Nothobranchius furzeri: one gene and its partner. The protein of the gene in region 1 interacts with the protein of each later gene in a pairwise test. Links are inferred from orthologs where the notes say so. Each region holds a gene or a part of one and is shown on either strand. Other genes may lie near its edges.

Region 1 (4,291 bases):
TGGAAACAATCATCTGACCTTGAATGTGAACAAAACAAAGGAGATGATTTTAGACTTCAGAAGAAACAGGGTGGAGTCAAACACTGTTTCCATCATGGGAGAAGAAGTGGAGGTGGTTGAGGAATACAAATACCTTGGAGTTCACCTGGACAACAGACTGGACTGGAGAAAGAACAGCGAAGCCGTTTACAAGAAGGGACACAGCAGACTGCACTTCTTGAGGATGCTTGGGTCCTTCAGTGTCTGTAGCAAGATGCTGCAGATCTTCTACAAGTCTGTTGTTGAGAGTGTAATCTCTTCAGCCATCGTCTGTTGGGGTAGTAGAATCAGAAGCAGGGGCCTGAAAAGGCTCAACAGCCTAATAAAAAAGGCTGGTTCTGTTCTGGGGACGACTGTGGAACCACTGGAGGAGATAATGCAAAGAAGGATTCTCCAGAGAATCAAGAAAATTATGGACAACCCTGAGCATTCTCTTCACAAGACTGTCCGACAACGGAACAGTGTCTTCAGTCAGAGGCTTCTTCAGTTTCGCTGCAACACTGACCGCTACTGGAGATCCTTCCTGCCAACAGCCATTGTAATATACAACAACTCTTTAACGACTTGATTATTATTATTATTATGAGCTACTACAGCAATCATTTTCCCTCTGGGATTAACAAAATATTTTTGAATTGAACTGATTCTGGTGACAATTTGCTTATATAACTTCTTAATGATATGAATCATCATGATAGACAAACCACTGTTTATAATCCTGTACAAAGGTTAATTTTTAAATCCACAAAAGTTTAGACATTTGCAGTGACTGGATTATTAAACCAATCATCTTTGTTTTTTATATATTCACTGGGTTTTATGTAGATGAAAAAAGTTCAGCCACCTTTGTGCAACGGACGATGGAAACCTCATCAGGTTTAGTAGGTCACACTGAAAATGGGAAATTATGATGCTGAGGGAAACTACAGACTCACATATGATTCCAGATCAATAAACATACTGAGAGCTGGTTGTTATGGTGTGTTTCTCTTAACTCGGTCGTTCATGCTTCTCAGAGGATGAAGCATTCAGGTCATCCTCACCAACTTTCTTTGTTTAAAGGGACGTCCTCAACATAAAATGTTGATTTTATGGTCCTGAAATAAATAAAAGTACTAGCATGCTGGTGACAGCACTGTTGGTTTTTAAATAATTTTATTGCACTTGTGATTTTAATTTAAAAAGCCATGTAATAATAATAAAAATAATAATCTTCATCCATTTCTTCTTCTTTTAGTTTACCTCTTCATCTTAACTTCCCATTTAGACCATTTAGGACTGAAGGTCATTTTTACTTTTCCTCTAAGAAGCAAAGCTGAGAAACCCTCTTTGGATAGAAAGCTGCTAATGTGTGAAGTAAATAAAAGGAAATGCTTAAAACAGCAACACGACAGGGTTCAAAGTCATTTTTATTTGAACTTTTTGCAGGAAATAATTATAAAGCCATATTGTTCTGTCAGCATGTTGAGCTGTTTGTCCTTCAAAAGCAGTTACGGAGTGTGATCGCTATTCAGAATAATGAAGGTCACAAGAAACTAGGAGTCTAAGATGAACATGTTTACCACAATAATCTGATTTTTTGTTTTTACTAAAGTTTCTTTAAAAATCAGACTTAATATTTTACATCACTAACGGGTTCTTCTGTGAGTCGAATCAAAGTTTTAATGTTGTGTGAGTGGAGGAATGAGAAGAATAACCCTCCTCTTCAGAGCAGATTGAAACTTTCAGGTCTCTGAACTGGATCCAGTTTTAGATCAGTAGCAAGCAGAAAGTTGAAAAGCAGGAAACACGGGTGGGCACTACATGAACATGTCATCGTAGCCAGGTGGGGGCATGTGGTCTGGATCTGGCCTAAAAACGAGGCAAAGAGGAGAAAGCAGTCAGAAAGCTGTCATTACTCTTCTGGTTTCTCTTAGTTTAATCTGAACAAAAAGTCCAGAAACTGTAGAAAGAACTAAAAATGTATCTGAAGCATCCGTTTTCTGGGGCGAACCCAGAAGTCAGCCCAAGGTTGTCGTCTGCTGAGCATCGTTTGCGTCTCACCCTGGTCTGTGACGTCCGATGGGTCCAAACGGGTCGAAGCGCGCTCCTGGGGGAACGGCTCCAGGAGGCAGGATGTCTGGTATGCCGCTAGACGGGTCAAAGCCGGAGCGAGGATACCCCGACCTCAACGGGTCGACTATCATCCCGCCGCCACCACGAGTTCTGGGGGGGATAAAATTAATTTTGTTTCCTTGTTATTTTTGAGCTCAAATACAAAAATTGGAACAAAAAATGACGGATGGATGTTAGAAGACGGTTTAAAAGCAAACTAACTGTTTTAATTACAGAGTGAAATTGGCTTATACCTGAGATTGGATTATACCGGCATGAACTCCAACAACTGGTCTTTTATTCTAAAGATTAGTAATCCTTCAAGAGCAGAGATTAGAGTTTTATATTAAAGGTGAAATAAATGAACAAAAACAGAACACCGGGCAAGAAGAACAATGAGACAGAGAAAAAGTATGTGAAGATACTATAATCCAACATAATTCTAGAAGGTGAGTAAAGAAATGCTTTATGAATGTTGTCAAAAACATTTTAATATACAGTTTGAATTAGTCAAGTGCCAAGATCCATCCATGGATCCATCTTGTTCCGCTTATCTGAGGTCCAGTCACTGGGGCGTCAGGTCCATATGGGAAGCCTGGACGTTCCTGTCCCCAGCTCTCTTTGTGGAATCCCAAAATATTCCTACGCCAGACAGGATAGATACAATACCTACAGTGGGCTCTGGGTCTTTCCAGACGGGCCCGGAAAACCTCCAGGGGGAGGCCACCTTGGATGCTCGAATCGATGCAGAGGAGCAGCGGCTCTACTCCGAGCCCCCAGTCAGGGTTAAGACATTAAATTTTCCTTAAAAATATACAGATTATTTCGGAGTCTTGCTAATACCTTTTTTTCTGAGAGAACACTAAAATAATTAGGACTGAGGGATGATATGACTCACCCAAAAGGATCCAGGTCTGCTCCTCCAACTGCAAACGGAGGATCCAAAGGATTGGGCCTGAAAAGAAACAAAAGCACAGACGTCAGTCTGGTTTCTTTAACCTAAAAATAAAATAATTATAAAACAAACATGAAACTATTTAAAATCTAGCATATTTATAACTTCCTTTATGGTTAAAATTTGCCAATATTTCTTAAAAACCTTTTGTTGCTTTTCTTGCGATAAACATAACTTATTTTAAGGCTGTTGAGTGTAATTTTTGATCTTTTAATACCACTTTTTAGCACATATTCAGTAGATAGCCTTAGCTTTGTTGTTTTCTAACAAACTAATCAGAACACTGAAGTAAAACAACAGAGTTCCAGCCGGCTGGGATTTCCACAGCAGACTCCAGGGAAATCAGGATGTGAAGAGATGGCTTTAAGCATCTTTGGAACAAAAACAGCCACATTTGGCAGAAATTTGAGACAATGTATTATAAGATCTGAATATGAGACAAAGAACGCTGTGCTTTAGTTTTGGGAAAGAGAATTTCAGTTGCTGATCATAAAAGTTTACTATAAATGCAAATCTTTATTTTTAGAGCATTGTCAGCGACCCAGAAACTGAGCACCGTGTTTGACTGATGGTAAATTCAAACAGGAGAATATTACTCCGTTTCCCTGTACTATACTGTATTTTTAAATGTTCTATATGTTCTATCCAACCTTCATCTGTTCTGTATTGGTCCTATCACCTCCTCCTCCTCTGCTCCCTGTGCACACTCGTCTTTCTAACATCTCCCTCAGCAGCGAACCCAGTCTACACATTCATCATGTCTTCATTTCTCTTCCACTTCTCTGTTTTCTCCTCACTTCAGCCTCTCATCTTCTCATCTTTTTTGTCTAGCCATAATCAAGTCCTTGTCCTTCCTAATCCCCCTTGACACTCCATCTCTCAAGGAGCGGGGAGGCGACAGCATGAGGTCAATAAAGTGCTGTTGACATCACCTCGCTTCTCATCTGACCAGGACGGAGGACGAAGAGGAGTGAGTGACTGTTCTGTCTGTCTGGTTTGTATAATTTGGGCAGTTTTAGCTTTCAGGTCAAGGTTACTATATAAGACCAGTTTCTGAATTTATGTGAGAAGAATACTGATCAGCTGTATGTGACGACCAACCAGTGAGGCTGTGTTCCCTGGTGAGGATGTCCGCCGGGCATACGGAGAGGGCTGCTGCCTTCTTCCCTTCTTCTTTGTGCCTCATCTTCTTCATCTCTTCTA
Region 2 (5,804 bases), on another chromosome or scaffold:
GTCTCCCGGCAACGGACAACAACTTCCGGGGTCAGATGCGCTGCTCCGTCTCTACCGCAGATGTAGAACATCACCGGGAGCGTTTCTCCCTTCATTAAGGAGCTTCTTTCAGACATTAGGAGAGCTGTTTTGGTGGTAGCAGTCTCTCCTGCGTGCTGGTCTGTTTGCTGCTGGGTGTTTTTGGTTTATTTAAACTTGGTAACTTGAACTTAACATTGGTAAAGCTACTGTTAGCATCTTCGCTAACAGCTTCTTGCCCTTTGGATAAGCTGTTACGTTTTGGTTTAGAGTTCATCTTTTTTGAGGTGCAGATCTCCCTTTTATTACATTTAGAGTGTTGTGGGTTTTTGGTTTAGTTTAAAATATCACCTTGAGTTTGGTTTAACCGCCCAGTTTAGAGTTTGGACCTTTGGAGATCCTTATTTTGGTCCAGAACCCAGTAATCTTTGCCCAGTGGGACATCCCTAGTTATTTGTACTTTCGTTTTAATTCCCCACAGACAGAATTAGTTTTATTATTCCCAACATGTGGATGGAAAGATTTGTTTTATTGTTGTTGTAAATAAACCCGATCATCATTTTAACTTTTAAATCCCGTTATTGTCCCTTCATTTTTGCACACGAGCCAAACTCCCCAGGAAGGGTCGTAACACCACTCGCCTCACACTCATAAGTGACCAAAACAAAGCAGCATGAAGACACTCCATCTTCTACCACCTCTCAGGCAGCAGCCTGCACTCCCACGTTCTACATGTCACCAGAACATAACCAACCAACACAATAAAAGCAGTGTTATACAAGATGGAAGGCCTGTAGTGTTTATTCTCTTACAGTAACCATTTATCAAGTTTTTTGAGGAATTTATTTGAGATTTTCTGGTTTTTAGTAATTGTGCAATAGAAAAATAATCGTTAGATTAATCGTCTAAATAATCATTAGAATAGTCGACTATTCGATAAAATAATCGTCAGAATAATCGTTTTAAAAATAATCGTTTACCCCCAGCCCTAGTTCACAGACATCCAGACCTTAGAAATGAAATAAAATCAATATTAAAGTTTAAAGATCAGTTATCTGTGGACACTTTTCTACTTGATGTAGTCCAGCTGAAGCAGACATCTGCTCATTTCTAACAGAGCTGAGCTGTGGGAGAACATGTTCAGGTTATTTAATCTCATTTTCCATCAGCTGTGGAATATACCTAACATTAATTATAAACTATAAATAACAGGTCACTACAGTCTGAGCTAGAACGTGTTCCTAGGAGCAGAAGCTGGTTGGGTTTGGGTTGGCAGCAGCTCACCAGTGCCTGACAGGAGAGCTCCTCTCATCAGCAGCAGGTGATCTAGAGTGACACCAGCCCAAAAAACAACAACACTGAACTCAACCGGGCCATCGGGAATTTCCCCAGTTGGGGCCTGGTTCCACCCGCCGTCCCCGTTAGACAGGAGCTGCTCACGTTAGCTCTCATTGTGACACCAGAGCTGGGCTCCATTAGTGCGACTAGCTTCTACAACGTTTAAATAAATAAACGCACAACTTCTGTGGCTCGTGTATAAAACCATCTACTCCAACCCCAGAGTGTAGTGGTGTGGTGGCAGAGCGCTGTTTTGGTGTGGGGGGTTAACAAGCGGAGGGGCGCCTAATCACTGATGTGCTTCTCTCTTATTAATGATATAATTAGCAGATACACAAATGGACAAGAACACGGCTGTTATTAAACAGAGGAACGTCAGACTAAAATGTTCTTGCATCATTGCTTTGGCGCCCCATGTGTCGCATACACTGCGTACCCACTTTTGCGTCACTGTGAGCTCACCTGAGTGGCGGTCTGCTGATCGTCAGTTATTGGGGCTGTGGAGCTGGTTTCCCCTGAGGTCACGGCGACTGCTGGAGGCTGCCGGAGCAGCACACAGATCAGATCTCCAGAAACGATCCCAAAGGAAGACAGGGTCTGACCAGAGTCCAACAGAAGCTCAGAGCCGTTCAGAGACAAGCTGAATTCTGTGTTCAGACTGAAAGGAGATGAAGAAAACGGAGCATTGAGCCGTTGGGACACACGCTGGTTAAGAGACAAGAAAAAGAGAATAAATGGATCCATCCGGAAGTCTGACCCAAGTCCAGTAGAAGTCAGCAGTGTCTGCTTGATGACATCTGAGAGTTCTGTGAGAGTGGGTTCTTCTCCAGGTAAGTCCACCCTGCTGGTCTGCTTGTTGATCCGGACCCGTAGCTTCATGTTGTCTGAAATAAACAAAACACACCGGCTTCCGTAAGATCACATGACCTCTACTTACATAAAAAACATGTTCAACTTATAGCAACTGAACTTTAAACCTCAGATTCAGGATTCCAACCAAAATCGGTTCTTATAGATGAATAAATGCGCCTAAAGCACAGAATGTTTACATGGGAATGGCACCAACTTCTGTCCACACCTTTAGTCACACTCCAACCTCCACCATGTAAGAGACTCACAGGTTTATCCAAAAAGCTTACGAACAAAGAAGTGTCATGAAAATCTGTTAGATTACGGTTCCAATAATAATAACGAAATAAGCACGCACGACAGTGCTGTAAAATAAACGATCGCTTCTGGAAAATGACGATTTCGTTTTCCTTTCATATCAAACGTTTCGTATTTGCTGCGTAGCACGAGACAAGCTAGCTAACTAACCTGGACGGGTAGTTAGTGAAACCTGCGGGTTATCTTCAGAAAGTCCCAGAACTTCACAGGTAAACCGAGAAAAGCTCACATTATAATAGAACATGAAATTCTCTCCTATCAGTGAAAACGAAACATCGGAAACTGAAGAGACGTAATTTCCGCTTCGACTTTTCAAAATAAGACCCAGAACAGTTTAGCACCTCTCAACATAAAAATCACGAGGAGCTTCACAAAAAAATTTAATAAAATTTAAAAAGTAAAAAAAAAAGAATAAAAATATGTTTAAAATTAAAGAAAAAAGTAAACATTATATTAAATATATAATGGAAAGGGAGAGAGAAATTTTATAGGAAAGAGGGAAATCAGTGGATTCCAGGAAAGGCAGAATAAGAACAAGGTGGTGGTGTTGAAGGTCCCACCAAAGCCTTAACGGGTGAGTTTAAAGGAGACCACTGAGTCCACTGATCTCAGGCTCAGGGGGAGAGAGGTTCAGAGTCTGGGGGCCACAGCAGCAGATGATCTGTCACCTTTGGTCTTTAGCCTGGTGCTCCACAACCAGTAGGCTTTGGTCACTGGAACTCATGGACATGCTGGGGGTGTAGGGACTAAGATCACCAATGTATGTGTCACAGTTTGTCTTGTCTCCCCAGTTTCCGTTCAGTTCTGTGTCCATGTTAATTGCTCCCACTTGCCTCTTGTCTTCCAATCACTCAAGGTCCCAGCTCCTCATGTATTTAAACTTTTAATTTAATTAAATTCAAGTTTATTTATATAGGGCCTAATCGCGACAAGAGTCGTCTCAAGGTACTTCACATAATAACCATTCCAATACAGGTCAATTCATTAAGCCAATCAGAAAAAAGTTTCTGATTCTGTGGTTACATTGTGATGTCTTAGTAAATATTCTATTTGGTGAGAGATAAACTTTATTGTATTTATCCTAGTGGATCTATAATTAAACGGGTAAACTAGTAGTAGCACATCCAACATCAAAGAGAGTAAAAAGTTATCAGGAGAGGGAGAATGTTTAAGTGGTTAGCAGCAGTGTGCTAGACGATGGCCCCCTCCATGAGGCCACCACAGCTCAGCAGAACATCATTGTAGCTTCTTCTGGGGAGAAAAACACTTAGAGAGAAAATAAAGTTAACAGCTGAAATAGCAGGAAGTAATACAGTTAAAGGGCAGATTGTAGAACAAAGTAGGTGAGTGTGGAAAGTGGTCATTGTATCCTCCAGCAGTCTAAGCCTATAGCAGCATAACTACAGAGATAACTCTGGATAACCTAGCCTTTTTAGAATGAGGCATATTGGAGGCAGGGCAAGGGAGAGCCGTCTTTACCGACTGTACACTCCACCTCCCTCTACTCCCCCACTTGTCCTTATTTAGGCTAACATCAGATTTTAACCATAGGCCCTATCAAATAAAAAATGTTTTAAGCCTATTCTTAAAAGTAGACAAGGTGTCTGCCTCACGGACTAAGACTGGGAGCTGGTTCCACAGGAGAGGAGCCTGATAACTAAAAGATCTGCCTCCCATCATAATTTTAGATATTCTGGGAACCACCAGTAGACCTTCAGTCTGAGAGTGAAGTGCTCGGTTAGGAACGTATGGAACAATCAGATCACTGATGTATGATGGAGCTTGATTATTAAGAGCTTTATATGTGAGAAGAAGGATCTTAAAATCTATTCTGAATTTAACAGGTAGCCAATGTAGGGAAGCTAAGACAGGAGAGATATGATCTCTCTTTTTAATTCTCATCAGAACTCCAGCTGCAGCATTTTGGACAAGCTGAAGACTTTTAACTACATTCTGTGGACTTCCTGAGAGTAATGAATTACAGTAATCCAGTCTTGATGTAATAAATGCAGGAACTAGTTTTTCAGCATCACTCCTGGAAAGTATGCTTCTCATCTTAGCAATATTCCGAAGGTGGAAAAAGGAAATCTTACAAACCTGCTTAAGGTGGGATTTGAATGACATGTCCCGGTCAAAGATAACACAAAGGTTCCTTACTTTGTTCTCGGAGATTAATGTAATGCCATTCAGGTCAGGTGATTGACTAAGCAATCCTTTTCTGAATTTCAGGACCAAAGATGAAAACTTCCGTCTTGTCTTGATTTAAAAGCAAAACGTTTTGAGTCATCCAATTTTGTATGTCCTCAAGACAAGCCTGTAATCTACCCAACCGATTAGGTTCATCAGAGTTAATGGATGAATATAACTGGGTATCGTCAGCATAACAGTGGAGATTTATCCCATGTTGTCTAATGATTTTACCAATTGGGAGCATATATATAGTAAAAAGAATTGGTCCAAGCACTGAACCCTGTGGTACTCCACAAGTAACCCTGGAGTATGAAGAAGATTTGTCATGTACATTTACAAAATGAAATCTGTCAGACAGGTAGGATTTAAACCAGCCTAACGCTGTTCCTTTGATCCCTACAACATGTTCAAGTCTTTCTAAAAGAACATTGTGATCAACTGTGTCAAAGGCAGCACTGAGATCTAACAAGACTAGAACAGACACAAGATTCTTATCTGAGGCCATGAGAATATCATTTGTAACTCTCACTAATGCAGTTTCAGTGCTGTGATACTCTCTAAAACCAGACTGAAATTCCTCAAACAGAGCATTAGTGTTTAAATGCTCACATACTTGGATGGCCACTATTTTCTCCAGGACTGTGGATAAAAATGGAAGGTTAGATACTGGTCTATAATTCATTGGGTCATCTGGATCCAGAGAAGGCTTCTTAAGTGAAGGTTTGATTACAGCAACCTTAAAATCTTGTGGTACATACCCATTTACTAAGGATAGATTGGTTACTGCCCCCATTCTAGATGTAATCAAAGGAAATGCTTCTTTAAATAATTTGGTTGGGATTGGATCCAAAATGCAAGTTGAAGGTTTAGATGAAGCTAATATTTTTGATAACTCTGAAAGCTCAACTGGATCAGAACGGTTCAAGCACAGATGAGGTTCTACAGTCACCTCTGATGCTGCCTCACTTACTGAGGAAGAAGAAATCGCATTAGGGAGGATGCTTAAGATTTTGTTTATAATAGAATTAATTTTACTTGTAAAAAACCCCATGAAGTCATTGCTGCTGAGGGCTAAGGGAATAGATGGTTCA

What was found. The genes of interacting proteins can lie anywhere in the genome.
Region 2: the proteins of psmf1 (region 1) and fbxo7 interact in binary tests that used the Homo sapiens proteins (3 or more experiments, as listed by UniProt). The link is inferred for Nothobranchius furzeri from reciprocal best matches to the Homo sapiens genes PSMF1 and FBXO7.

Annotation. Positions count from the first base shown.
Region 1 is NC_091743.1:68,639,276-68,643,566, forward strand, and holds the end of psmf1 (proteasome inhibitor PI31 subunit), read right to left. Parts: coding exon 4,190-4,291; intron 3,089-4,189; coding exon 3,032-3,088; intron 2,245-3,031; coding exon 2,083-2,244; intron 1,891-2,082; coding exon 1,839-1,890; 3' UTR 1,431-1,838; downstream 1-1,430. UniProt on the Homo sapiens protein: Plays an important role in control of proteasome function. Inhibits the hydrolysis of protein and peptide substrates by the 20S proteasome. Also inhibits the activation of the proteasome by the proteasome regulatory proteins PA700 and PA28.
Region 2 is NC_091741.1:31,395,502-31,401,305, forward strand, and holds the start of fbxo7 (F-box only protein 7), read right to left. Parts: upstream 3,885-5,804; 5' UTR 2,768-3,884; coding exon 2,674-2,767; intron 2,636-2,673; exon of another isoform or gene 2,435-2,635; intron 2,241-2,434; coding exon 2,114-2,240; intron 2,015-2,113; coding exon 1,819-2,014; intron 1-1,818. UniProt on the Homo sapiens protein: Substrate recognition component of a SCF (SKP1-CUL1-F-box protein) E3 ubiquitin-protein ligase complex which mediates the ubiquitination and subsequent proteasomal degradation of target proteins and plays a role in several biological processes such as cell cycle, cell proliferation, or maintenance of chromosome stability.